Rattus norvegicus: one gene and its partners. The protein of the gene in region 4 interacts with the protein of the main gene of each other region in a pairwise test. Links are inferred from orthologs where the notes say so. Each region holds a gene or a part of one and is shown on either strand. Other genes may lie near its edges. The genes, in order: Gripap1, Ppm1e, Pafah1b1, Disc1, Sptan1, Ywhaz and Exoc1.

What was found.
Region 1: the proteins of Disc1 (region 4) and Gripap1 interact in binary tests that used the Homo sapiens proteins (3 or more experiments, as listed by UniProt). The link is inferred for Rattus norvegicus from reciprocal best matches to the Homo sapiens genes DISC1 and GRIPAP1.
Region 2: the proteins of Disc1 (region 4) and Ppm1e interact in a two-hybrid assay, tested with the Homo sapiens proteins (2 studies listed by BioGRID and IntAct). The link is inferred for Rattus norvegicus from reciprocal best matches to the Homo sapiens genes DISC1 and PPM1E.
Region 3: the proteins of Disc1 (region 4) and Pafah1b1 interact in a two-hybrid assay, tested with the Homo sapiens proteins (2 studies listed by BioGRID and IntAct). The link is inferred for Rattus norvegicus from reciprocal best matches to the Homo sapiens genes DISC1 and PAFAH1B1.
Region 5: the proteins of Disc1 (region 4) and Sptan1 interact in binary tests that used the Homo sapiens proteins (3 or more experiments, as listed by UniProt). The link is inferred for Rattus norvegicus from reciprocal best matches to the Homo sapiens genes DISC1 and SPTAN1.
Region 6: the proteins of Disc1 (region 4) and Ywhaz interact in binary tests that used the Homo sapiens proteins (3 or more experiments, as listed by UniProt). The link is inferred for Rattus norvegicus from reciprocal best matches to the Homo sapiens genes DISC1 and YWHAZ.
Region 7: the proteins of Disc1 (region 4) and Exoc1 interact in a two-hybrid assay, tested with the Homo sapiens proteins (2 studies listed by BioGRID and IntAct). The link is inferred for Rattus norvegicus from reciprocal best matches to the Homo sapiens genes DISC1 and EXOC1.

The regions. Positions count from the first base shown.
Region 1 is NC_086039.1:17,377,789-17,381,776, reverse strand, and holds the start of Gripap1 (GRIP1-associated protein 1), read left to right. Parts: upstream 1-1,188; 5' UTR 1,189-1,207; coding exon 1,208-1,249; intron 1,250-3,243; coding exon 3,244-3,310; intron 3,311-3,429; coding exon 3,430-3,491; intron 3,492-3,988. UniProt on the Homo sapiens protein: Regulates the endosomal recycling back to the neuronal plasma membrane, possibly by connecting early and late recycling endosomal domains and promoting segregation of recycling endosomes from early endosomal membranes.
Region 2 is NC_086028.1:72,681,747-72,685,962, forward strand, and holds the start of Ppm1e (protein phosphatase 1E), read right to left. Parts: upstream 2,801-4,216; 5' UTR 2,681-2,800; coding exon 2,226-2,680; intron 2,216-2,225; exon of another isoform or gene 1-2,215. UniProt on the Homo sapiens protein: Protein phosphatase that inactivates multifunctional CaM kinases such as CAMK4 and CAMK2. Dephosphorylates and inactivates PAK. May play a role in the inhibition of actin fiber stress breakdown and in morphological changes driven by TNK2/CDC42.
Region 3 is NC_086028.1:60,048,697-60,052,196, forward strand, and holds part of Pafah1b1 (platelet-activating factor acetylhydrolase IB subunit alpha), read right to left. Parts: intron 870-3,500; coding exon 785-869; intron 551-784; coding exon 476-550; intron 1-475. UniProt on the Homo sapiens protein: Regulatory subunit (beta subunit) of the cytosolic type I platelet-activating factor (PAF) acetylhydrolase (PAF-AH (I)), an enzyme that catalyzes the hydrolyze of the acetyl group at the sn-2 position of PAF and its analogs and participates in PAF inactivation.
Region 4 is NC_086037.1:69,910,488-69,914,775, reverse strand, and holds the start of Disc1 (disrupted in schizophrenia 1 homolog), read right to left. Parts: upstream 2,801-4,288; 5' UTR 2,646-2,800; coding exon 2,591-2,645; intron 1-2,590. UniProt on the Homo sapiens protein: Involved in the regulation of multiple aspects of embryonic and adult neurogenesis. Required for neural progenitor proliferation in the ventrical/subventrical zone during embryonic brain development and in the adult dentate gyrus of the hippocampus.
Region 5 is NC_086021.1:33,698,069-33,701,228, reverse strand, and holds part of Sptan1 (spectrin alpha chain, non-erythrocytic 1), read right to left. Parts: intron 2,687-3,160; coding exon 2,477-2,686; intron 2,124-2,476; coding exon 1,827-2,123; intron 1,694-1,826; coding exon 1,581-1,693; intron 1,231-1,580; coding exon 1,213-1,230; intron 222-1,212; coding exon of another isoform or gene 159-221; intron 1-158. UniProt on the Homo sapiens protein: Fodrin, which seems to be involved in secretion, interacts with calmodulin in a calcium-dependent manner and is thus candidate for the calcium-dependent movement of the cytoskeleton at the membrane.
Region 6 is NC_086025.1:69,845,903-69,850,147, forward strand, and holds the start of Ywhaz (14-3-3 protein zeta/delta), read right to left. Parts: upstream 2,801-4,245; 5' UTR 2,751-2,800; intron 160-2,750; 5' UTR 149-159; coding exon 1-148.
Region 7 is NC_086032.1:32,011,328-32,015,261, forward strand, and holds the start of Exoc1 (exocyst complex component 1), read right to left. Parts: upstream 2,801-3,934; 5' UTR 2,670-2,800; exon of another isoform or gene 2,456-2,669; intron 1-2,455.

The DNA of each region.
Region 1 (3,988 bases), on a different chromosome or scaffold from region 4:
ACACTAAAAGAATGAATAAACAACTTGTGGCATATGGATAATAGGACATTCTATCCACTGACAAGAGAAAAACATCTGATAACAGCACAACTTGGGTGAATTGTGAGAGCCAAAAGTGAAAAAGAAAAGGAAATACAAAAGGAGTACATTGTATCGCATTCTATCTGAAGGAAGTTCTACAATAGACAAATGTAGTTCAGCCGGAAAGAAAAACAATGTTGCTCTGGCTGTAGGAGGAGGGGTGGAATGAAAGAACCTTTAAGGGGGATGGAAGTGGATTATGACAACATAGGCGTCAGAACAGTTATTGAATGGTACCCTTTAAATGACTGCATTTATATGGAGAGACAGCATCTATCAATAACATCTTTCAAATTACAAGGGTCCTGCTTCAATATATTTCCCACAGCAGGAAAACAATTTCACTTCTATAAGAATACAATGAGCAACAGTGTTTTTCAGATCTGAGATACTTAGGACACATTTAAATACTTTTTTTCTGGTGTTTTCGTTTTTGTTTTTGTGTTGGGGATCACATCCAGAACCTTGAGTGTGTTATCAAACCTTTTCATGGAGCTAGTTTTTGTTTTTACTTGTAATGGGGTTTTCTGTTTTTGTTTTATTTGCTACTGTTCTCACGAATTTTTAGCTTTCTCAATGACTAGATCTTTTCCCTAACATGAGCACTGTGTTAATAAAAATCATTGTCAGATCGTTTTTTAAAAAAAATGAGGGGTGGGTGGTCAAGGACTTTACGCGAGGCGGGATTCCCCTTTGGGGTCACCCTAGGAGGGCCGGAACAAGACCCGAGGAAGCTTCCGCTTTCATTTCCATGGTTATTAAGTCACTTTCTCTTTAAAGGAGCTTCGCGGAAGGTTAATTTTCTGTCGGAGGACTACTTCCCTCTCGACGAGTCCACTCATGATACAGGGATACCATAATGTCACATAGCAATGAGTAATCTATAAATGCTCAAAACTATTTACAATTTTGTAAATTTACAAACTATTTACAATTTTGTAAAAACCGAAGAAAAAATTTTATGAACTTTAAGCATCATTGCCTTCTCTACTTCTCTAAAATGCTGAACATTTGAATTAGTTTGTTTCCCCTCCATTGCTGGTCAGTGGTTCGCTCCGACCTTAGCACTGACAGGCCGCAGAAGCTGCGGCTGCGCACAAAGCTTGCGGGGGGTGGGGGGAGGAACATGGCGCAAGCTCTGTCTGAAGAGGAGTTTCAACGGATGCAGGTGCCGCTGGATGGGGGGAAGACCACCCGTCTAGGAGACTGGGGGCGGGGTAGAGAGAAGACATGCCGTCGGTTCTGAAGATTTGGTTGGGATGGGTCTTAAGTATAAGCGGGTGGTCTGGGGAAGGGAAACTGAGGCTCTGGGTGGCGATCTTATTGATTTCGAAGATTCTACGTGGGTTCTGAAGGTTGAATTCTGTTAGCCTTGTAGGGAATGTAGAACGTCTTTAGGCGAATCCTTTCTCAGTCCGGATTCGGGGTGAGACCTTTCGGTTCATGTGTAGGGCATACCATTAAATGGTGATGATGTTAGACTTTAAAGGATGGAGATTTCGAGGAGAAATTATTTTGTCTGGAGAGAGAAGAAGCAGGCATTTGGCCATTTGCGTCATGGGGGGGGGGCGCTGGTTGGTGATTTGACAGGACAAGACCATGAACTGGTGGGAGGTGGAAAGTTTGTGGGAGATACCAATACCACTAGGCTAGGGGAGTAGGGAAAGTCTATGAATCTATTCCCTAGAGTTGCTGTGCCATTGATGGTAGAAGATCCTAAGAGGGAGGGAGGGAGGTAGGGAGGGAGGGGTATAATTTCATGGACTGGGGTGATTCCTTTAGAACTGGGGAGAAGAGCATTCTGAGTGGGTAATACCATTAACCCAGATTAGAGGAAGAACCAGAGGATATTTTTAAAAACTGATATTTGGGGAGTTCAGGAAAGGGGACATCACTGGGTTTGGGGGAGTAGTCTGACCTGGTACTCAGACCTGTTGATCCTTTTCAGGGCATCCTGAGAGGGATGATAGCACTGCACAATGAATGGATACTTTGTGAGAGAGCATTAATGGGAAAGACTGAAATGGGGAAGCCTTAGAGTCCTGTAGGTTGGGGGCAGAATGCTTGAGGGAGCAGAAGTATTCCATTGACCCGGGAGTTAGCTGTTGTACTTGAGAGATACTGAGGATCTAAGAGTGAGTTCACTGGACCATAAATGGGGAGGACCGCTGTAAATTGCAGAAGATTCTGAATAAGACTAGTTCAACTGGCCCACCCAAGGGTATTTGAGAGATCCTGAGGGACAGACATAATGTCATCCCTATTGGATCATGACTAAAGACATCTTGTGAAGAGTGGGTAGATAGATACTTGAACATGGAAGGTTTATCCTGTTTGGGCAATGTGTAAGGAAAAACTATTGGGTTCTTTTGGAGAGGGACTTCAAGGTGGGTAGAAAGGTATTCCAGTTGGCCTAGGATTAGGAGAGATGATATCTGGGTCTTGAGGAGACCAGGACAAGAAAGATCCTATAATAGCTAAGCCTTCTGATCTGGAGCAAACCAGTGTGCTGAGAGAGGTGGAGCTGGTGCTTTGAGAGGGATATAGAAACAGGGGTAGGGGACAGTGGGTGGTTCTGCGAAGAATCAGATTCAGGGCTCTCCAAGGTTGGAAGATATACATGGACTGTGTGAGGCGGCCCATGCTGCACTTCCTCTTAATTCTATACTTAAGGGGATTCTCACTTGTTTTGAAAACCTTGACAGTTCCACAGGACCTTGAGCAGCATCCCCCTGACTCATGGAACTTGGGAAGGAGAAAGACCAGATTCTCTTTCCTTGGGAAAGAATTGGGCCCCCACTGCTGGCCAAAGGGGCATTCTGAGTCTAGGCAGGACAGTGTGGTTACAGGGGGAGCTGAACAAGGTGGAGCTGGGGTTCAGGGCTTGCTTGCCCATTTAAGAATACAGTATCCAAAGATCTTTTTTTTTTCTTTTTTCTTTTTTTCGGAGCTGAGGACCGAACCCAGGGCCTTGCACTTGCTAGGCAAGAGCTCTACCACTGAGCTAAATCCCCAACCCCAGTATCCAAAGATCTTAAGGAGCAACGAAGGAAGTGCTTAGGCGATAGCAGTCCAATCTTTAGGACTTAGGGGCTTGTTTGCTTCATGTGGGGGTAAGAATGCTTTCCTGACAAATATTTTTGTTTCTTGGATCCTCCAAAGACACAGCTCCTGGAACTCCGGACAAATAACTACCAGCTTTCAGATGAACTCCGGAAGAATGGTGTTGGTGAGCCAAGAGCGTCTCATTAGATGGGGTGGTTTTGGGGGGAATAGAGGCCTGATAAGATGACCCTTCAGTTCCTTGTTACCGCCTGAGGCTCAGATTCCCTGCTTTCCCTGCACCAGAACTTTCCAGTCTTCGACAGAAGGTCGCCTACCTGGATAAGGAATTCAGTAAAGCTCAAAAGGTACCTCCCTCCGCCTACCCCATCCACCCACCACTTGCTTCGCCCCTATCCATCTGACTCATTCCCAGTGAACACACCTACACCGAAGCAGACCTAATGTCACATGCTGCTTTCTTATAGTCATTTGAAGTATTTTTTCACAGAAATTTCTTCAGTTGGCTAATTTTAACCTAATCTTACTTAATTTTTGCGTGTGTTTCTTTTAAGACAGGATCTTGCTATGTAGCCCAGACTGGCCTTGAATTCTTGATTGTCCTGCCTCAGCCTCCCAAGTGCTGGGAATATAGATGTGTGCTGACATGCCTGGCTTTGCTTAATTTATTGATTGATTTTAATTTAGTCTAATAGCAATTGCTTATTCATTTTCATTCACTTTTTGTTTTGTTTTTGCGGTGCTACAGATCAAGCCTAGGATCTCATGCATGCTAGACAAGCTCTCCATGTTTGATCTTAGCCAAAAGGCTAAAACGTGATCTTTTTGTTGTTTACAAGACAGA
Region 2 (4,216 bases), on a different chromosome or scaffold from region 4:
GGGTCCCCAGGACCCCTGTGTCAGCAATTCACATCAGCCTGTAACTGCAGGTTCAGAGAATTCTCCACCCGTGGCTTCCTTGAGTACCTGCACTCCCATACACACACCTACGAAGAGGCACATAATTTTTTTAAAAACCTCACTTCGAAGTATTTTCTCAGACATTTGAGGACAACATTCCCACTGTGGCAGGTGTTTTGAGAGTCAGAGATTTTGTGGGGAAATGTTGGAATTGTTTCTACATGACTCGTTTTTGGTTTTTGTTTTTTCAAATCTGCATAGGGACTTAGTAGCCTCACATGTAAAATGAAGTGCTTGAAGAGAAAAATGGCCTAACACTGAAACCAGCTGGACCTGATTCTTGTCTAAGTCTTAAGCTTTTTTTTAAAGAATAAAATAAAAACTAAAAGTGTCATTACATATTTTAAAACTTTTAACCCACTAAGGACCTTATAGATACTTTACATAAATGAGCCAGCCATTTTTATCTTGACTAGCATCAGAACAAAATATAGTACAAAGTCTGGTTTTATGTGAAGTCAGAGTATAAGTGTCCAATTTAAGGGGGAATAATATTTTCTAACGTCAATTTTGCTAGTTTTAACTTAAACACAAACTTCCATGCTCCATTGGTGACCTCCTTCTCATTGTGATCATTTTTCTAATTGATATGTACATTAAGATTAATCTGGTTTCCTCATCACATTAAAACACAAACCACCCACATCTTACCATTTCATTCTGCACATCTCGGTTTTAAAAGCCTTGAAATGTTCAGGACTGTACTACATTAACAGCAGTAGGGGAGCATCCTCTTAATCCTTAAGCTGTCCCTACAATTCTGGAAGTGTATATGTAAAAGTAACAACTGCCCAGATAGTACTAGCCTGAGCTAAATTTCTGCACCTTGGCAAATATGTCCACTATATTTAAGTGTCTGAATTATGTATTTAAAAACTGGCATTCTGTAGGTCTTTTTCTTTGATATTTTACAAAAGAACTACTCTAAACCATTAATGCTGTTTATCCCCAGGTGGTGGTATTACACGCCATTTTATTTTTGCATTTCCCCAAAACACACTATTCCCTTGGTAACTGGACAGTATTTTTAAATTAATTACTAGATGGTTTATAAATGTGGCATCCACACGGTTCAATTCTACAGATCTGCTCAGTGGCTTTTCCCTTTGACAGGCTGCTGCTTTTAACAGGAGAATGGTTTGATCAGTTGTCTACGAGGTCAGATGAAGACAAAATAGCTTTCTCTTCTTGGCCCCCCCAGGCTTTAGAGAAATCCAGGAAGTGGGTTTAAACTTAGCTTGCGATAATAAACTTTTTGGGTGGTCAGAGTAACACCTTTCATTACAACTATTAGCTGAATGTCAAAAGACTCTCTGGTTTACCGGTGTTTGCTGAGGCATTATTTCAGAACAGTTCCATTTGGAAAGAAACGCAACTGTAAACCGTATCTGTTCCAAGCCCATAAAAAAGCAGAACTCGGATGAAAGGCAAAGCCTTGACCTTTCTATTTTAGACTTGCATCTGGGTAGCTAAGCCATCTGCTTTTCTCCCACCTCCCACCCCATCTACTTAATGGACTGAAAATACTGCACTTAATTGCAATTTTACCCAACCAGGCTGACTCTTCCGAATTATGACCCCGTCTTTTCACCTAAAGGCTTGCTCAGTAGGGTTTTACTTAACACTTCCTTCCCAATTCCCCCCTACCGCTCTATATTATGAGATGTCAAATGTCTGTAAAGTATGATACTAGGCTCTCACGTAGGAAAGCCATCTATCGAGCCACCACGGTGAGCGCCTAACAGAAAATCCAGGGGTCTAGGCTCCTCTGGACACCGACGGTATTAGCTTTGTGCGGTTATGCAGAAAGGCACCTCTTTCAGTCCATAAAGGAGTCGCGCGTCCCCGCCGCCCAACAAGGAACACAGCCCGGGAAAGGACAGACAGACGAAGGTTGGAGGAAAACCCCCCCGGAATAAAGGCGCTGGGAAGAATGGGAAGCCCAAGACTGGAGGGAAGACCTTGACAAGAAGGCTCCGGAGAAGGGTGTGCGAAGTGGCGGAGAGGGTCAGCGAAGAGGGGCCAGGGGCAGGAGCGGGGACCCCGCCCGGGTGCCTCGCGGGGACACGGGTGGCGGGGACAGGGACCCAGGCCAGCCCCCCCGGGGATGGCGGCCCACCCGCGGCCGAGCCCCGCTACTTAACTATTTGTAGAGCTGCTGCAGGCACAGGTCCAGGCTCTCGCCCTCCACCTCCTCTCGGGTGATGCGCTCCGACAGCGGCCGCGGGAGCGGGGGCAGCGGCGGCAGCTGGGGCTGCGGCGGCGGCACGGCCGAGTGCCCCGGGGCAGCCGCTTCCTCCTCTTCCTCCTCCTCCTCGCCCTCGGCCGCCGCCTCCTCTTCCACCGCCTCCTCTTCGGGCTCCGGGTCTTGGTCCTGCACCCCCTCCTCGGCCGCCTCTACCGTCGCAGCGTCCTCCCCCGGGTCCTCCCCCGAAGCCTCGGCCGCCTCAGCCGCGACCAGCTCCGCTTCGGGCTCGGGCTCGGGCTCGGATTCGGGTTCGGGCTCTGGCTCGCCGCCGCCGCACGGTCCGCGGAACTCGCCCAGGAACAGCTCCAGGAAGCGCCGGTAAGTTTTCTCCTCAGGGATGCAGCCCGCCATCGTTGCTCATGCCCCGAGGTCCACCGGGAAGGGGGTGGGAGGTGAACCCAGGAGGAGGAGGGGGCTGCTTCGGAGCCTCGCCTCCCGCTACGGAGGGGGAACGGCCGCACCGGCACCGGCGATCAGCACTGGGTTGCCTGGAGAGGGCTCCCGCAGGCGTGCGCGCCACCGAGCTCGGACGTGCGCGGCCCGGGGGCGGGGGCGGAGCGCGCCACCCCTCTCCGGTCTGGAGGGAAAGTTGGTGGCGGGCGCGCGCACAGGGTCCAGCGGCGGCCCACCCGCAATCCCTACCGAGAGCTCAGCCCACGCTGCCTAGAGACTGTCGCCATGGCAACCGGTTCTAATTAAGAATTCCAGGGTCCCTCCCGTCGAGTCTGTGGAGTGCTAAGGACACTGGACTCCTGCACTCCAACTTCGAATGGTCTTTGTTGGGTGAAGACCCTAGTTTCATGTTAAGCATCTCTGTGGGTTCCATCAGGAGTGTACTGACTTCAGTTTCCTTATCTGCTTGCCTTGCCTTAGTATATCTCTTGATACGATAGCACACAGTAAACACCTTTTACTGAAGACATGCCTCGAAAAAGTAGAGGTGGGGGCACAACCACCTGAAAGGGTAGTTTCCTTTGCCCAGGTCCTTTCATTTGATTCTATGTATCCTCCTTTCTCAAAAAGATGAACGTGTGAAATAAAATAGGAATTCGCTTGCTTTAAAGTCAAGATTTTAGAGCTGTGGCATTGGCGTTAGCGCCCAGATCTAAGTCTCCAAAGCCTTTAGAATCTTTCCCCTTAACTCTGCTCTATGAAAATCTGTGCCTCGTATCCACACAATGTCATATTTATAAAGTGCTTTTCAGTTTACACGTGTTCATCTCTAATCCTCACTACAGCCCTTTAAGGCAAAGGATATTACCGTTGTGATTCTGTTTTACAGATGAGGAAACAAACCTTAAAGACAGTGACTTTGCTCAAGGTCAGAAGCAAGCGATGCAACAAGAATTCAATCCTGGTTGAAATGGTAAATTTCACTTGTAAGTTTTCCATCACCCTAAAACCTCCTCCTTGGCTTCTGTATAATGCGTGTCAGTATACTACATTATTCTATCATATAATTTGTATTTTTGTCTATATTTTGTTTGTTCTTCCCCACCACCTCCTGTGTCTCATCTTTACCCCCCCCACTCCAAACTAGAACTGAAATGACTTTAAATTATTCTAATTTTCTTACCAAACTATACACAAACCTATTATTTCCAGGCTTCGTGGTGCTGATGTTGGTGGTGGATGCTTGGAGGGAGTTGTGTTATACAGCTGTATGGATGATAGCATCATTGCCGCGTACTGCCGTGTCCGTGGCAGCATGTAATTCCGCACAAACATAGTGATTTTTTCCCCCTCTGCTTTGAAAAAAGCACACACTCACAAATTATCCACTCCATCACTCCATTTATTGTTTCTGGGTTTCAGCTGGATTTAGGATCTGAAATACCATTTCCAGTCAGTTATTAATGACAGAAGAGGGTGTGTTCTCACCAACTG
Region 3 (3,500 bases), on a different chromosome or scaffold from region 4:
TTTTCCAGTTATAATTAGTTATGTCCTTCCAAGGCATTGGTTCTCAACCTCTCTAACGCTTCGACCATATACATCCTTGTATTCTGGTGACCCACAACCATAAAATTACTTTTGTTGTTACTTCCTAAGTGTAATTTTGCTACTGTTAATGAATTATAAATACCTGATACTATAGGTTAGCTGATATTCAACCTCAAAGGGGTGCAGTGCCACCCACAGGCTAAACAGCACTGTTCTAAGGACACAAATGATTCCTTCAGCACCAATTTCTCAGTCAAGACAATGCAAGGTTAAACCTCTAGACTGTTTAATGTGTATCAAAAATAACCTTAAAACCAAAGTTTTCATGAAGCAAAGAAATGTATTTTTTTTTAAGATCAACCATGAGTATCTGCAGATTAGTAATTATGGCAATATTTTCAGAAAATTTATAAGTAGACATTGAATACAACTGACTTAAGAAAGATCTAGTTACCTTTTTTTGTAATCTAATAACAGATGTCCATTTTTTTTCCAAAAGACCAGCATACTTCTTATCTAATTCTTCATTCTGGAAGAGAAAAAGATCTTTTAAAAAATGGCTTAACAATGATACCTTTAAGACAAAACATTATTAAATATTTGACTATACAGAAAGTGGGAAAATTAAGCTCAACACTAAGTAAATCACAACAAATGGCAAAATTTAAATAGCTGAATTGACCTACTGAACCTTAAGTAAAACTTAACTCATTAACTACACTATGAATAATTAGAAAAATGATAATTATACAGTCAAGCATACCATATCTAGTTCAGCTTCCTTTTTAAAAACGGAATATGCCTCTTCATAGCCATTTGAACGAAGATAATCTGCTATAGCTCGATTTCTGAAAGAAAAAAATTAAAATGAGTCCTAAAAAGACCTTCTATTTGAAGAACTACACTTAATAATTTTTTGGGGGGTGGGGTTGGGGCAGCCCAAGGACAAGTTTCTCTGTGAAACCCTGGCTACCCTGGAACTCACTATGTGAGCCAGGCTAACCTCAAACCTGCCTTTGCCTCCTGAGTACTGGGATTAAAGGTGTGTACCACCACTGCCCAGAGTACTAAATTATATAAATATTTCTGGAAATAAAATAGACATACTTCCAAAATTCAAAAACTTAGGTACTGTTACAATTTATCTGTATTGTTTTTTAGCATCTTTTCTTTTTTTGTTATTTTCAGAGATGCAAGGGACTGAACTCAGAACACTGTACATGCTAGGTAAGTGACCCGCCTCTGAGCTCTAGTCCTGGCCTTTGCCATTTTATCACTTTCTAACTTACTGCTCAGCTTGTAAACTGCAGGCACTCCACAGATATATTTCTATACCTAGACATCAATTGTTAAAGTAGCCATCAGTTTTTCTAGTGTTGACATTCACCTTCTCTTACTATTTGATAAACATACTCAAGCATTGGAGATTAGAATTGAGTTTTGCACAGAAATGTTTTAATGAAACTCTACTAAGAATACGAAGAGATGACTAAGTGGTTATAATTTCCTTGCTGTGCAAGCATGAGGATTGAAGTTTATGTCTCATGTAAAGGGCTGAGTGTCCTATGCCAAGTCTGTAGCACAAGGATATGTAGAAAGAGCCTGTCTGGGGCTTGCTGGCTTCTTGACTAGCTAAAATATTCTAGCTCCAAGTTGAGAAAGTAACCGTCCTATTAAAGAGGAACAGGTAAAGAGTGTTGTCTCCAGGCAGACACACATGCATACACCATAAAAGTATCTCTCAGGCACAATACCATCTCCCCCTAAAAAAAAAAAAAAAAAAAATTATAGTAAATATTTTAGTATTAGAAATAACTCTGGGGGGGTTGGAGAGATGGCTCAGTGGTTAAGAGCACGGACTGCTCTTCCCGAGGTCCTGAGTTCAATTCCCAGCAACCACATGGTGGCTCACAACCCTCTGTAATGAGAGCTGATGCCCTCTTCTGGTGTGTCTGAAGACAGCTACAGTGCACTTATATATAAGAAAGAAAGGAAGAAAGGAAGGATGGAGGGAGGGGAGAGGGGAGACAACTCTAAATGCCATGCAGTGGTGGTACATGCCTTTAATTCCAGCACTAGAGACCAAGACAGGAGGACCTGGAGTGTAAGGCCAGCCCATGCTACATAGTGAATTCAAAGCCAGTTTGGACTAGGCATCACTGAAAGACCTTATTTAAAAATGAAGCCAGGCAATGGAGGTACATGCTTATAGTCCCAGGACTCAGGAGGCAAAAACAGGCACATCTCTGAGTTTGAGGCCAGCCTGGTCTACAGAGTGAGTTCCAAAACAGCTAGGGCTAGAGTTAAACTCTGTCTTGAACCCCTGCCTCCCCGAAACAAACAAACAAACGAAAGAAATTAAACTATTTTAATACACTAAAAATGCACAAGCTACAAACAGTATATTGTCTTAGAATGACATTTAGAATTCTAATTAAAGGCAGCAAAGTTGAACTATATTTTCATGCTTCTTTTTCATTCTGTCCTGACAATATTGGCAAGCATCTGTGCTCTCCTATTTCAACATTTCCCAATTACTGTGAGCCTTTCGTCACAAAATTATAGAAAAGGTTGATTTAGGAGTCCTCTGTTTAAGCCTTTAAACTAACTTAAGTAGTTAAGAAGTTAAAAGTCATGGGGTTGGGGATTTAGCTCAGTGGTAGAGTAGAGCACTTGCCTAGCAAGCGCAAGGCCCTGGGTTCGGTCCCCAGCTCCGAAAAAAAGAAAAAAAAAAAAGAAGTTAAAGTCACGAATTAAACAAAACGTAAATATACATACAATAACAGTACATCCTTTAGCCAATTTTATTTTTTTGTGTGTACTGGCCAGCCTTGAATTTACAGAGATACCCCTGCCCCTGCCTCTGAGCATTGGGATGAAAGACATGAGCAACCATGCCTGGTCCTCTCTGCTTTTGTAAGACAGGATTTTGTGAATCCCAGGTTAGCCAGAAACTAAGGATGACCTTGAACTTTTGATCCTAAAGGCATGAGTCACCATACCTGGCAGATGTAAGGCACTAGAAATCAAATCCAAGGATTGTGCATGATATATCCCTAACCCTACTTAATAGGTCCATATTGCCAATTATATCTAATATTTTAACATAGGCAATCACTATTGTGATTTACATGTTTTCAGAGATAATCTACCTAAAACCTATAGTATTTTAGATTCTGAATTTTTTTCCTGAGGCAAGGTCAAACTACAAAGTCCTTGTTGGCCTGGAATAACTCGATATAAATTCTTCTTGTTCCATTTAATTTTGATTCTATTTCCATAAAAGACAACATGAAGTCAAATGAAGAATCATTATATAAAACGACTCCTTTTTTTCCTTTTAAAGTAGGAGCTCACTATGAAGCTTGGAGTAGCCCAATACTTAAGATCCTGTCTCAGGGGCTGGAGAGATGGCTCAGCGGTTAAGAGCACCCGACTGCTCTTCCAGAGGTCATGAGTTCAATTCCCAGCAACCACAT
Region 4 (4,288 bases):
TCTAAGGGACTGGCCACTGGGAGCAACACAATGACTGTGTGAGAGACACAAATTGAATTTGGTGATGTTTGTTTGTTGAGGGGAGGAGAGGCACAAAGGTGGGAGGGTGGCAGGAATAGGAAGTGAGTGGGGTGGGATGCATTGCATTTGTATAAAATTCCCAAATAATCAATAAAAATATTACATTAGGGGGAAGGCGAAGTTCTTCCTGTGATTTACTCTCATTTTGTTAGGGTCTGCAATTATGAAAAATGCCAGCTAGAGGTAGGACGGTGTGCTGAAGTGCTCACCTGCTTGTCTAGCATTGCACAAAGTCCTAGGTGTGGTCCCTAGTACTGCATGTAGGTAGGTAAGCAGATGGCTGGAGATAGGTAGGTAGGTAGATAGATAGATAGATAGATAGATAGATAGATAGATAGATGATAGACATATAGATAATAGAGAGATAGATGATAGATAGATGTAGATAGATAGATAATAGACACATAGATAATAGATAGAGAGAGATAGATGATAGATAGATAGATAGATAGATAGATAGATAGATAGATAGTAGACATAGATAATAGATAGGTAGGTAGGTAGATAGAGGTAGATAGATGTTAGATAGATGTTAGATAGATAGATGATAGATTAATGATAGACATATAGATAATAGATAGATAGTAGAGGTAGATAGATGATAGATATAAATAGATGATAGATAGAGAGATAGATAGATAGATGATAGATAGAGGTAGATAGATGTAGATAGATAGATAGATAGATAGATAGATAGATAGATAGATGACAAAATAGGTATAAAAGGCAGAAACAGACCAAGCATTGCCTTTGACCAGAAAAGGTCTACTCTCAACCTGGGCTCTACCTCATGGCTTCCCTTCAGCCAGTGATTGGAGACACCAGCACCTGGTTTCTGAGCCTCAGTCCTTGTTTAACAACCAAAGCCACAGGCAGGTGACTAGCCCTTGCCTCATGGAAGAAAAGATGAGAATGGTAGCACCAGCCCTCACAGGTTTGAGGAGGACCTCATCCTAGGGCAGGAGCAGGTGCCTGGCCCATGCATTTTCTGCAAAGGTGGCACCAGCCCCAGTTCCAGATGTTCTGCTTCTCCTGATCCTAGGGCAACACTCAGTGTGAACGGTGCTTTCTCTTTCTGTCAACAGAAGAGAGAACCGAGGCTGGGAGAGGCAGCTCAGAATGCAGGGTTCTCATCCAGGGCTCTTTTTGCTGTGAGCAGAGTCCTGGCTAAACCTTGACAGTCTCCACATCAGATGCCAAATGTCTTTTAAAATATCCTGTAATTCAGACGCTAACTAACTCACACTGGCATTCCTGTATTACCCGTAATTATTAGGTCTTGTACGGTCAAAAAAATAAATAAATACTTAGGGACCCATGCGTAGTGGAGCACACCTGTAATCCCAGCGCTTGGGAGGCCAAGGCTAGCGAATTGGAGGCCAGCCTAGGGTATGCAGGGGATTTAAGGCTAACCTGGGCAACTAAAAGATTTTTGAGAGCTTGCTGTGTATCTCAGACACATTAAACCAGGGGTTTAATGCCCTCCTACCACATTAAACCCTTTAAAAACCCGACCAAGTCGGGAGGAAAATCAGCTCCATTTTGCAAATTGAAAAACTGAGGCAAGCCCGAGTCTAGGACGCATGTGCAGGAGACTCTCACCCTACACTCACCCATCAACCCTGTGTTTTCTAACTCCCATTTGCAAAAAAAAAATTCTTCATAGAACCTAGTTAAGGAGACAGGCAAGCGGGTGGCTAGTGCCCCTTTCACAAATGGGCAAACTGAGGCTCCAAGAGCTAAAATAAGAGCCTAAGTCCCTTGCCCTCTCTCCTTCAGCACGGCACGCCCAAACTGCAAAGCCCAGTCTGGAGCTGGGCTCCCTGCTTGGTTTTTGTTTTTTTCTTGTTTTTGTTTTGTTTTGCTTTGCTTTGTTTTTCCGTTATTCTGGTTTGATTTGGGTTTTTGAGATAGCGTCTCAGGCTGTATTAGAAAGTGTCCGCAATCCTCCTGGCTCAGTCTCTTGCGTACTAGCAACAGAGGCGTGCGCCATCACATTCATTTCCTTGGTTTTCTGACAGTGAGTTGCGGAGGTCATTGTTGAAAAGCGGCCGCCCACTTAACTCGATGTCATCACTAGGGTTGGTAGGTGGCCCATGCTGACGGGGGAAAATGGAGTGGGTCCCCTCAGCCTGCGCTGCCCTGCGCGTCACAGTCCACACTCGGAAGTGGGCGGCGAGCAGCCCCACGGGAGGTGCGGGCTGCAGTTCCCACACCTCTCCCAACCTCGCCCTGCGTCCCCACAGGGTCCGCGCCGGCCACGCGAGAGAGAGTCCCAGGACCGAGCTGCACTCAGGCGCTGCGGACGCCGCCCTCCACCGACTGCGCCCCAGGCCGCCAGGCTCCCCCCAGCGGGGACGCGCTTGGACGGGAGCTGCAGTGGCAGCCGGAGACGCGACAGCCCGCACCCGGCACGCCCCGCTCCCTGCCTCGGTTTCCCTCCCCCGCACCGGGGTGCGCCCGGATCTCGGCAGGCCGCGCTCGCCTTCCGTCAGACCCCGGGCCCTACCTGGGCAGTGGCTCGGACTGTGGATCCAAGCGCCCCGGGAACCCGCGCCCTGCATCGTGCGGCTGGCTGCGCTCCGGACGGCGGCAACGGTGGTGACTGCGACCGCGGAGGCGGCGGGAAACGGGCAGGGGGCCGAGCCGAGGGCTGGCTCCTTCCTCCTGCCCAGGACCGCCGCTTCCTCTCCAGCTTCGGCCCCCTCGCACACGCGCGCCGCCCCTCGCGGCTCCCAGACCGCAGCGCGCAGAAAGTTTTGCTTTTCACTTGAAGGAAACCAAGGAGGGGAAGTGTGATGGGGCAGGGTGACCAGGGACCGAAAAACTGGGCGCTTCCCCGACCCTGGGAGTAAAAGGCAGGGTGGACAAGAGAGGGACTTCTTCCTACCAAGTGACAGATGACAGGTTGGGGGGTGGGAGCAGCTGTTAAAAATGACTTGAGGATCGCTGGCAGCGCGGGGCTGGCCAGGAGCACACAAGCCTGTGCCAAGCTCCTAGCAGCTGGCTCACCTCCACCATCCCTTCCCTTTGGCTGCTCCAGCAAAGCACCTGCTACAGGACACTGGGTCCAGGAAGTGCCAGTCACGGGTAACCTGGCCCTCTGGACCCGGAGGCAAAAATAAACCTACAAAACTGAACTGTGGGGAGTAGTCAGCCTGAAGCCAGGAGGCCTGGCTGTGGGTGGAACGTGGGGGAGGAGTGGGACGCTAGGAAGAAGCATGGGAGAGTTTCTACAGGAAGTGAGGAACCTGTGACCACTGGAAGACAAGGCCCTGGAGAGGTGGGGCAGCCAGTTGCCTGTTACCAGGAGCCTTAACGTTAGCATGGGTGGATGGGGCTTGAAGTTGATAAAGACATGAGCAGAGAGTCTGGATTTAGTGAAAATCCAGTTGGAAAAGGGGCTGTCAGTGTCCTAGTTAGCTTTACCTGTCCGTTTGACACAGCCCAGGGCTAGGGTTAGGGCAGATTGTGTCTGTAAGAAATGTCTTGACAGTTAACTGGCCTTCGAAGGCCCAGCCCACTGTGGGCGGCACCATTACCTAGGTCTTGAACTAACCAAGAAAGCTAACTGAACTGAAGCCCATCTATGAGCCAGCTGGCAAACAGCATCCTCTGCGGTTCCTGCTGTACCTGCTTGGCAGTGAGGTGAGCTCTTGGTTGGAGGTTAATGCTGTGTGTTATAGTAAGCAGGCCTGCCTTCAGGCTCCTGCCTTGGCTCCTCTCAGTGGTGGCCTGTGATCAAGTGGTAAGCTAAAATTAACCCTCTCCTCCCCCAAGAGGTATTCCATAGCAAATGCAGATGAATTGGCCAGCCTGCCATTGAATGCTCTCAGGTATCTCTGACTTGCACCCAAGGATCGCTAGGAATATCTCTGAATACATAACATAAACTGTCTTAAAACGGGCCGGGAAGCTGGCCTGACAGCTAAGAGAACATACTGTGGACTGGAGAGATGGCTCAGTGGTTAAGAGCACTGACTGCTCTTCCTGAGGTCCTGAGTTCAATTCCTAGCAACCACATGATGACTCACAACCATCTGTAATGGGATCCGATGCCCTCTTCTGGTGTGTCTGAGGACAGCTACAATGTACTTATCTATAATAAATAAATATTTAAAAAAATAAACAAATAATTGAGAGAGAGAGAGAGAGAGAGAGAGAGAGAGAGAGAGAGAGAACATACTGGTCCTGCAGAATCCTGCAG
Region 5 (3,160 bases), on a different chromosome or scaffold from region 4:
GGGACGGGGCAGGAGGCAGGGCCAGGGCCAGTGCAGCAGAGGGGGACAGACCCTCCTCCCAAGTGGCTAGGGTGTGGGTTAGAAAGCAGCCGCCTGGGAGTCCAGAGTGCATTGGTAAAACCACAGTGAGGGAAGAAGAGAAATAAGAGGAGAAGAACCTTCCAGACAGATCATCCCCAACTTCATACTGATAGACACGAATGACCCGACGATATGCTATGCTAGTCAAAGAAAAGAAACCAAATGAATACACCAAAAGGAGGCGAGGCAAGAGCATATCGAGACAGACACGTGCCACAGCTGGAAGCCTGGCACTGGGTAGGAACCAGGGGCAGCTCAAGGGGTGGGCCAGGTGGGACAAGGCTTGGGAGGAGCCACAGGTGAGGAAGCATGGCACTGCACAGAAACAAGACCAAGAGCAGCAGACAGCATAGGGTGGGGAAGCCTGTGGTAGGCAGTCCAGATGCTGCAATCCTTCCCACCTTGCAAAGCCTCCTACAGCCTGAATGGTTTGGCAGATTTCTGTGGTCATTATCTCTTTACATGCCTGACTTTCCCCTCTGCAGAATCTCACAGGCCATAGGTTCTTGTTAGGCCTCTTGTCTGGATTAGTTAGTAGCACGAATGGATTGGGGGCTGAAGTGGGGGCCCTTCATACAGGCTCCTACTGGGATTAGGGGACAGCCCTGCTCCTCCCGCAGCTCCTCCAAGCCCTGTCTCTGTAACACTGTAACGTTGGACATTTGCCTTTTTCTCGGATAAACAATCCTGGTTACTCTCCTCAGGGGTAAGATAGGACGACCTCAGTCCTAAGAGGGCTGCAGAGCTTCCCCTCAACTGGACGCTGTCCTCAGTCTAAGCTCTGAGCATAGCCACCCAGCTCTATATGCCCACTGACCTCTGGGGCGTAATGCAAATTTTTTGGTCACTATGGGAAAACAGGCAAGTGCAATCCAGTTCTGGTGGCCAGGCACAGACAGGGTTCTCAGACTGACTCTGGTTTCCCACCACAGCTAGTCCCTACCTTGAAAGAGGGGAGGTGACTCCCGCAACACTATGGGTTCTTCTAGCAGGGAAAATGGGCATGGACAAGGTGGGCAGGAGGCCCATCCTGGGATCTTTTGCAAGCCAGGCCACTGGGGACAAGGGACAAAGGGACAAGCACACAAGACACCACCACACCACAAGCCCGGAAAAGAAGGCAATATTAACCCGTCGAGGAGATACGTTCTATGGCGATCCAAGTGTCCAGGAGCCATGGCAGTATCCACACACAGCAGCAATCGGGACGATGTAGAAGAGAGAACAAAATACAGGACATTAGTACTCTTCTGCCCAAGCCTGGGTGCCAGGATGACGGGGCCTCGGGCAGTTGTTCTACCTCACTTGGGGCAAGTGCCAACATCACCCTTGGTGAAATGAACCGTGCTGAGCCCACGTTTGCTTTGGACCCAATCAGACATGACAGTCCTCGTCCAAGCAGCCCCCCACCCACCAGGTCTCTAACAAGCTCCCTAGAGGCTTGGCATGCAGCTGCAAAGGGGCACCATGTTCCCTGGCTAGCCCCAGAGGGCAGGCACCTTGTTTCCTGGATCCACTGGTGGAACGCGTTGGCATGCTGGGCAAACTCTTGGCGTAGCTTGTCATTCTCCTCCTGCCGCCGCTGTTCCTTCTGCAGCTCCAGTTCTCGCTCCTGAGACAAAAGGGAGCTGCTACTTCCTGTTGCTTCCTGACATCTGGCCTCAGATGGGCTCAGCATAAACATGGCTCTACCTTGGGAAAGGGCAGTGGGACTTAAGCAAGAGGGGCAGGGAGCAGTGGCACACCTTAATGATCTTCTGTAGGTTCCTCCACGTCTCTTCCAGGGCCTCCATGGTGAACCAGGTGTAGGGATTGGAGGCCACTCGGAAACTCTTGATCTGACGGTCCAGCTCGGCTAGCTGGTTGAAGTCGGCCTGCGCAGAGCTGAGCGATGAGCGGAAGGCATCATGAGCCTCTCGGAGGGCTTTGATTTCTTCCAGAGAGTTGCAGCGCACTGGGTCTGTGAGGTCCTCTTCTGCATTCTCAAACCAGCTGTTGAAAGCCGATGCCTTTTTGGCAAAGGTCAGGAAGAGGTCTTCTACCTAGAAGTAGAAGGGCAAATTGTCAGTGGTGGGCACGTTTGTGGGTGAGGAAGTTTCTGGGAATCAGAGTAGCGCCTGCTGCGGGTCTGTCTCTCTGCCCCATCTCACAATCTTCCCAACTTGTCCTCTGCCTGCCGCTCCCTGGCACAAGCTGTGCTCATCCTGGGAGGGTCAAGGATAAATTCTCCAGGGCAAGTTCAAGGACTCCACGTGCCTCGGGTTCCACTGACTTTGGTGCCACGTTCAACTCCTTTGGGCTGAGGTTACTTCTTCCTCACAGGGTGATGGCACAGCCAGGCAGAGGCACATGGGTCTACTGTCCACTATACTGGCCAGATGACTCTTACCCTTACCTTTCGGAAATGACTCTGGGCCTCTAGCAACTTCTTCTTGCGGGTAGCTGAATTGGCCAACAGCTGGGTCCACCTCTTCATGAGGGAGGCATGTCGGGCCTCGATGGCCTTCGACTGAATGTGCTTGGCAGCTAGCAGCTGGTCTTTGAGGGCAGTGATATTGGCAATGCCCTCCTGCTGGAAGGCCTGCAGGCCAGCATCAAATGTCTCCTGCAAAGAGCAGTCACAAGGCAATGACATGGACTACAGAGTCTAGTGTGCCTGAGCTCAGACTGCAGGAGATGCCCACCTGGTGGCTGACTTAGCGCTCCATGTCCTACTAGCATCGAGTCACACATGCCTATGCTCCTGGCTGCCTTAGACCCCAGATTGTGGCAATGGTCTCATCTCTGGTCATAAATAAACTGTTCTGTTAAACCAGCATTGAAGCTCTGGGCAAGGCCATGTATGGCTCTGGGCAGACCAGTCATTCCCACCTAAGAACTTTGAGTTTACGCTCAGTGACTCCCACAGATGCTTGTCTGCTGCAGAATGGCAGGCACCTTGTGTCTAAGCCCTGCAGCCCATCTCGCTACTGCACATGTGCCTGGTTCTGCACCCATTCTCCCCTCTGGAGGCTTTGAGGCCCAGGACTGAAGTGTTTATTATTGTCTGACCATGGCCATGCATACAGAAGGCCAACTG
Region 6 (4,245 bases), on a different chromosome or scaffold from region 4:
TTTTATAAGCAACAGAGAGAAGGTTCCTCTCCTCGTTAGACAGCTCGGCTCCTTGCTCAGTGACAGACTTCATGCAGGCTGCCATGTCATCGTATCGCTCTGCCTGCTCGGCCAGCTTGGCCTTCTGCACCAGCTCATTTTTATCCATAACTGGATATTCTGCAAGGTGAACAAGAGAAACACTCAGAAAACTCCTGTGAAAAACACACACTCGTTATACCTGTCGTAAATAAGGCACACCAGCATCTCAAACCTAGCTTGAGGAATTAAAACACCCCCACGCCCCCAAACCAACCAGAAAACTAGCATAGTCTGAATATTAACAGTGGGTTAGTCAAACTGCATGTTCCAGATGTTCAGAAGATCCCAATTTCAAGTAAGATCAAAGCATATATGGACATATAAGCTACTTAAAAACCCACCTCTATTTTCTTTGGCCAAAGTATCACTTGATCCTAATACCACTAAATGACCCACTTGAGCAGCGTTCCCTCGAGTGTGTGAATGGGGGTGAAGGGGGTTGTGGGTAGGGACCCTCGAAATGTGTGCATGGAGGTGAAGGGGTTGTGGGAAGGGACCCTCGAGTGTGTGCATGGGGATGAAGGGGTTAGGGATAGGGACCCTCAGGTGTGTACATGGGATGAAGGGGTTGTGGGTAGGGACCCTCAGGTGTGTACATGGGCATGAGGGGATTGTGGGTAGGGACCCTCAGGTGTGTGCATGGGCATCAAGGATTAGGGTAGGGACTGGGATCTACAATGCTTATGAAGTGCATACCTACAGAATCGTGAGTCATGTCAGTGTAATGTAACTCATATACTCTAACCTTTATATGTATATATTCTTACCAAGAGTGACTGAGTTTTATTTAGCACCTCCCCAACCCTGATCTACTACACTTGTAACATTTGCCAGCTGATCATGGAATAAAAATTATCTCAAGATAATTGGCTAATTGCTGCTTAAGACATCTTGAACACACTACCACTAGGACTCACTAAAGCCAAGACCAAATCTGTCTCTATATGGCATTGTATGACCTCTTGCTTCAGCACACACCCATACTTCCTACTATGAGTGTGCACTGAGTCTACAACACACGGAAGGACCCGAGTGCTTCCAATGTCTACCGCATTATTTCTAGCTCGAGTCACAGAAGTACTCAAGCTCTTCTTTTTCATAGTTTCTCAGTTTTCTTTTGCTCAATTTCAACGATCTCTAGATTCCAATTTACTTATTTCTTCAACCATGTCAAGAGCAAGATTCTAAATCATATAGTGATCCCACAAAATATAAAGAAAAAGTCACAACCTGAAGGCACATCGAAAGGCATAAGAGTCACAGCCGCCCACCATGGAAATTATCAAATCCTTTCCTTTCCCTTTCCAGAAAGGACGACCTCTTTTTGGTTGGCCAAACGAGCAGTGTCCAGAACAGAAACACGGAGCTAGCTTAAATTCGAGACACAGTACCTTCAGTGCATCAACTATTTAAAATTTGTGAACCCATACTTCCCCCCCGGGGTCTCGAAATCTAACATCAGAAACCGTCTCTGGTAAATGTTGCTTCCAAAAAATGATGTAAGCCCAGTCAGTACAAACGTTCCTCTGCCAACCTCCCGTATAAGGGGAAGTGGATTAGGTTTCTCACAGGAAAACTAGTGCTCCCGGACCTCGCCTTCAGACTGCGGGAATACTCGCCGCACCCACTTAACCCTTAGCTGCCCGAGGCCGGCGGGTGGGGCGAACCGAAACCGCGCAGCGGTGACTTTAAAGCGCTAGTCCTGGCGTCCGCGCCATCCGCAGCCACCTCCCCTCCTTGGCTCCGCCCAGGCTGGTGCCTCCGCGCTAGTCCCCGACTCTCTTTGTCATGGCGGAACTGTGTCAAGGAGCCCAACCTACTCCGACTGTGAATCCCCCCCCCAACCCGGGCAGAGGGTGGAGCAGTCCGCGCACCCGCCCCAGTCGGATGGTGGGGGGGGGGAGGGAGAGCGACTCACCCTCCCGGGGGCCCGATGCCATCCGCGCCCGCAGAAGCGGAACCGCGGCCGACCCGCGCCGGACACACCCCGCTCCCGCCCAGGGTCCCCTCCGCCTGTGTCCGACCGGAGTCCCGAAGCCCGGACAGCTGCGGTAGGGGGAGGGGCAGGGCCCCACCCAGACAGGCGCAGCCCCCACTAGGGGGCCGGGGCTCCGGGAAGGATGCGCACCTCCCACCGGCCCGGGACGCTGGGGACCCCGAGCCCCTGTGACCCCATGCCTAGCTCTGGCCGCGCCCCTCCCCCACCGCGCGCCCCGAGAGTCCTTTCCGGCATTGCGGGACCCAGCAAGCCCAACTCAGGGTCCCCGACGAGCCCCACCCCAGCGCCCCGCATGCTACCTGGCTGCCCCCCGCGTGGGGGAGGGGTGGCGGGGGTACCGCGGGTGGGGGCGGCCTCACCTGCGCCACGACCGAGTCACAGTCGCGGGCGGAAGCAGGGTGCCGGCGGGGGCGGATCGCGGTCGCCCTGGGGAGTAGGAGCCCCTGGGTATCGCGCGTGGGCGCCTGATCCGCCACCCCCACCCGGGGACCAGAACGGGGCGATGAGCAGCCGGGCAGGCCAGAAGCAAGCGGCCGGGGGCGGCGGTGGGCGCCTGCCCGGGCCCGGCGGAGCCGAGCCGCCGCCCGGGTCCTCCAGGGGAGACCCCTCTCGGCCCGCAGCGCAGCGGAGGGCTGAAGGGAGCGGAGGCCGACTCAGGGCGGCTTCTCACCTGTGTCCGGAGTGGGTGGCGGCACACGGACCCGGCTCGGCAGTCTCTGGGCGGCGGCAGCGGTGGCGGCGAGGCTGAGACTCTGTCCCTGATCTGGCTGCTCACAGGCTACAGCCGCTCCGCAGACACGGGGTTTCCTCCAATCACTAGCCCCGGCAGCAGGGGCACCACACGCACGATGACGTCAAACGCTGCTATGGCAACCGTTGATTGGTGCCCACAGTTCTCCGGCCCAGCGCAACCGCCGCTCCCCTGCGCGCGCCCGGCCGGCCCGCCCGCGCCCGAGGGCGAGCGGAGGAGAGCGCGTACCCGCGCTCCGCTCCGCTCCAGACCCTGCCTTCACCCGCGTGCTCAGTTCTCTCCCCACCGCCCCCGCGAGCTGCCCTCCCTCCCCGCCCCTGCGGCCCGCGGAAGGAAGCCTCTCCCCGCCCCCACCTCTACTGGCGGGCACATCCGGGACCTTCGCATCTCCCCACCCCACCCCCTCCCGCCTGGCCGCCCTCTCTCTGCGCTGGTAATGGCGGCGGGCAGGCTGCAGGGCAGGGTGACAGCGGCTCTACTGCCAGGGCATTGTGATCAGAACCCCGGAGCAGGGCAGCGGCCCCGCCGTCGCGGGGCGGGGCGGGCGCGGTTGCTCCCTCCCGCGGTCCGCTTTACCTGCCTGCTGCAGGAAGCGGCCTTAGACCTTTTAAGGCTTGGAAAAGCGCGAGGCTGAATGACGCCCTGCCCTTCCAGTCGCGAGTTCGGCGTCCGCACCGTGACAGCCTCGGGGACAATGGGTGGTCGCTGGGAGGAGCGGGGAAAGGGTTGGGTTTGCGAGTTGGACGTGATCGTAGAAGCCTGACTTGGGGCGAAGCGGGGAAACAGGCTAGAACACACCGAACTGCTCTTCATGGTCTACGCTTTTACCCTCCGTAGGGCTTTCATTGGGAGACGCATCGTTCCTAACTAACGCATTGTAAGAGTGTGACCCTTTTAGGTTCTGGAAGCAAGGTTTGGGAGCGTGGTCGTTCCTAGGGCCCTAGTGGAGGAGGAGCAGCAGGGCTTCTACGCCCGGAAGAAGGGGGGGGGGAGGAAAAGGGCGGAAATTGCAGGTGCCTGAACCCACAAGGTCTCCACCCAGGAGACGGAAGTTGAAAGGAGATGCAGTTTCTGTATGAAGTATCTGCTTTTGCTCCTTTTAACTGTGCTCCTCTGAGCTAAAACATTTTTTGGGGGCTACACTAAGCACAACTGAAAAAAGAACCTCAGGAATTCGGCCCAGAGCTCTCTGGAAGACTTCATAACAAGCTATTCTTTCCCTACCACTGTCTTATCCGTATGTTGGATACATTGTCTGAACCACAAGCTTGTTCTACAAATTATAACTTGCCTGAAATGACAGCTAGCTAAAGATTTGCCTGTGACCAGTCGCTCCCCTCGCCAATCACCCCCCCACAACCCGTTTCCACAGCAATAGATTCATAACATGCTAAGCAGATGAGCAAATTAATGC
Region 7 (3,934 bases), on a different chromosome or scaffold from region 4:
AGGACACAAGTCCAATCTTGTTAGTTTCCAGAACTCATTTAACAAGCAGTGCATGGGGAAGCCTGCCTGCAACCTCATGCTGGGGAGGCAGAGACAAGCAGATCCCTGGAGTGCACTGAGCAGACAACTTCACCTATGGTTGGAGCGCCAATCTGGTGAGAGACCACGCACAAGAAAAGGGGGCGTGGATGGTGCTAAGGAAAAACATGTGCAGCCGCCCTTTGCCTATTGCAAAGATGCACACCAGAAACCCAAAAGGTTTCATACCATCAACCACTTGGGAAATACGACTGACATCTGCGGCAAGAATCCTACTTTCAACTGCTGGGAAGGCTAAAAACCCACAGGACACACAGCAGTAAGCAATGAGGAAGGGGCCTCCCCCACCCAGCTGGGAGGATCACAAATGGCAGGGAGGCTTTAGAACAGTCCTGCAGTCCCTTCTGCAAGTCAGGCATGCAACTGCTGTTATGATCCAGCCCCCGTCAACCACGGATTTAAAAAATGCCCTTCAGCTGGATCTTACGGGGGCATTTTCTCAATGGCGGTTTCCTTCTTTCAGATGACTCTAGCTTGTGGCACACCCCTTAATGTGCCCTAGGGCCCAGGTGTGACATTAAAGCGATACTCTATCCTATCCTCAAACTCAAGTGGACACTGCAGTTTACTGTACTGTCTCTGGGCTTTGTTCACTATTTTCCTCATTCTGAAATTCTTGTCACTGCAAATTCCAACTCACCCTCAACCATTCTGATAACACACTGCATCTTCTTTGAAGCCTTCCTCCTCTTCTGTTCCCCAGCTTACCTCTACTGGCAGCAGCTCTCCAACCAGTGTTTTCTAGCTAGTGCACTCTAGACCCTACTAAAAGCAGTTCTCTCTCGGCAAGGATCTCATCTTATCCATCTTTATATTCCTAGCATTTGCCACGAGGCACACAGCGAGTGCTTAGTAAACATTTAGGGAAATACTGTTGCACTCAACAACAGACCAGGGATAGTTCCCTCCAAGTTACCTCTTTCCAACTTTTGAATCTATAAGAAAACAACCCAGACTCAAACTCTGCCCTAGTTCATTGCTTCCTCCATGCCAACGTGAAATCTGTTAGCGTACGCAGTGACTTCTCCATCTACATATAATTTACTTTTCCCCCATCTGGCTACCAAGCAACCAAGATTTACTGCCTTTAAGTAATAGCACCTGTTACCTTTTTCTTTTTTTAAAGTTTCTACAAGTTCCCTGAAAAACTAGTAAATAACTTTAAACCAGTCCTCATTATACCACTGTTCTCAAGCCATGCCTTGCATTCAAAGCACTGTGTTGTTTCTGACTTGAAATCTTTGGTTAAGCACTTTCCCATGCAGGCCAGATTATCTTTTCCCTATTCAAACGTACATTTCTCCATTTGGATGAAGCTGACTCAGTAAAAGTCTTAATCCTCATTGCTCTTCCCATGCAAATGTCTAGAGCACTTACTGTATTTACGAGACAAGTGCTTGCTATCTAATGGGGACATGAGTATCATCTCCTAGGTCTCCACAGTCATCTCTTGGGAGGAGGAGGAGGAAGAAGAGGAGGAGGAAGAAGAGGAGGAGGAGGAGGAAGAGGAAGAAGAGGAAGAGGAGGAGGAAGAGGAGGAAGAGGAGGAAGAGGAGGAGGAGGAGGAGGAGGAGGAGGAAGAGGAGGAGGGAGGGTGCTCTAACACAGGTTTGTGTGTTGGGTACTTACTACAACCTCTTGGTGTAACCTGTTTTATTGAAACAGTAAAAACTGGTAAACAGAACAATTAACTCAGGCCAATATTCACCATACTAAAGACTCCGTGCATGGTAAACAGCCAAACAGCAGAGGACTGGTTATAACTCATAAAAGAAATTAGACGTAATTCAACAAATATTACTATTCACTAAGTGCCAGGTAGCACTCTGGGGGTATAGTGGAGAATCTGAAAGACATGAATGGGATGATGTAGAATTGTAACAGTCAGTCTTCTTTGGGGTTAGTGATGAATTCTCCAATGTTTATACAGAACTTTATATTATGCCAGTATTATTAATAGTGGCCTTCACAACTATTTACCAAGTCTAAAACCCACGCCCATATTCTGGGTTCTCTTTAGTTCTTCGCCTTCTAAAACCTCAAGGCTGCCCGTTACAGAGGCAGCTAACCTCTGTTCATCGCGTATCTTACTTCCTGCACCTTGATAGGGCCATCATTACACTGTGTGTCAGTGCAAGTGCCTTAGTGGGTTGGGCCCATCTACTGCAGTGACATCTCAAGACTTGTCATCCAAAAAACGAAAACTGCTCAGAGGCTGGGCAACGCCCTTTTAAGATTTATAAGGACATATTTGTTGATTTGGACCGGCAGAAGCCAGGTCACGTTCTCCTCTCCCAAACCACGCTAATTTGGCAAAAATGAAATCTGTCCCGGATGGGCGGAACTGAGGACTGACCCTAGGCTGCCTCCGGGCTCCGTCTTCTCCCAGAGCCCAGGACAGGAAGAAGTAAGGACTCAGTCCGGGCTCTGCAGCAGCGGTTCTGCAGCCCTGGAGGGCAGCAGGGTGGGTGGGCCGTGTCACTTGGGAGTGGCCGACCTGACGCAGATTGAACACTGCCTCCACTTAGGCTACCACCTCCAGGACCGCCGGTCCCCGGCCGGAAGCTTACCGCGAGGCCGGCCGGCCGAGGTTGGTGCTCCAAGACGGACTCTACAAGGGCGCCGGCAGCAAGAGCAGCTATGAAACGCTTTTCATTGAGCTGGGAAAAGAAGCGGCCAGAAGCCGCCACTTCCCGTATCCGGTCACGTGCCGCTCTGTACCGGAAGTTGATCTTGTGGAGCCGGAAACGGAGACAATGGAAGGGAACAGATTGACCAATGGACTTGGAGGAGGTCGAACGTTGCCTTGATGGGTGGGACCGGGCCAGACAGTGGGCGTGGAAAAGGCAAGGACCGAACCCGCAAGCTCGTAGACTGGTGGTTCTCAACCTGTGGGTCTTTCGCGGTCAAATGATCCCTTCATAGGGGTCACATATCAGATATCCCATATATCAGATATTTACATTACAATTGATAACAGCAGCAAAATTACAGTTATAAAATAGAAATGAAATAGTTTAATGGTTGGGACCCACTGCAGCATGAGGAAATGTATTAAAGGGTTGCAGCATTAGGAAAGTTGAGAACCACTAGCATAGATAACCACTGATTAGAGGAGTTGATAATGGTGGTATTTTCTTTTTCTAGATGTACCCATTCTGATATTTGTGGCAAATCATTTGAGAGCTCATTAAATGTTTTCTCCTTTGCATATGTAAAATCCTGTTAACTCTAGATTCTTCGGAGCACTTCAATGAGTTAAGTCAGAATCTCTGGGAGAGGAACCTAGACATCACTAGTATCCTTAATTTCTCCCCACTTAATTCCCATAACGTGTTTAGGTCTAGAACCATGTCACTTACGCACTTCATACTCTACCGGGCGGACTGCGCAGACCTTCCTGGGTGCTTTTTAGAAACTGCACCCGCCGGCTCACATCAGATACTGAAACAGAATCTTTGTTTTAAAGGTGATACTTGTTTCAGTGTGAGAGGCATGAATGATGCCAAGATTGTGAGCTATAAGACAAGTGATTCATTTAGGCCACATCCCTGGCAGGGATTGAGTGCTGGGAACTTTGATTTCCAGGTACAAAGGCCATTCAAGCTTTAATTCTATACTGAATGAGTTCATAATGAGGTAGAACTAGAAAAGGTGATTGCGAAGGCAGGATAACATACTCTACCAGGATGATCATCTCCTCCTCCTCCTCCTCCTCCTCCTCCTCCTCTCCTCCTCTTCCTCCTCCTCTCCTTCTCTTCCTCCTCCTCTTCCTCTTCCTCCTCCTCTTCCTCCTCCTCTTCCTCCTCCTCTTCCTCCCCTCCCCTCCTCTTCC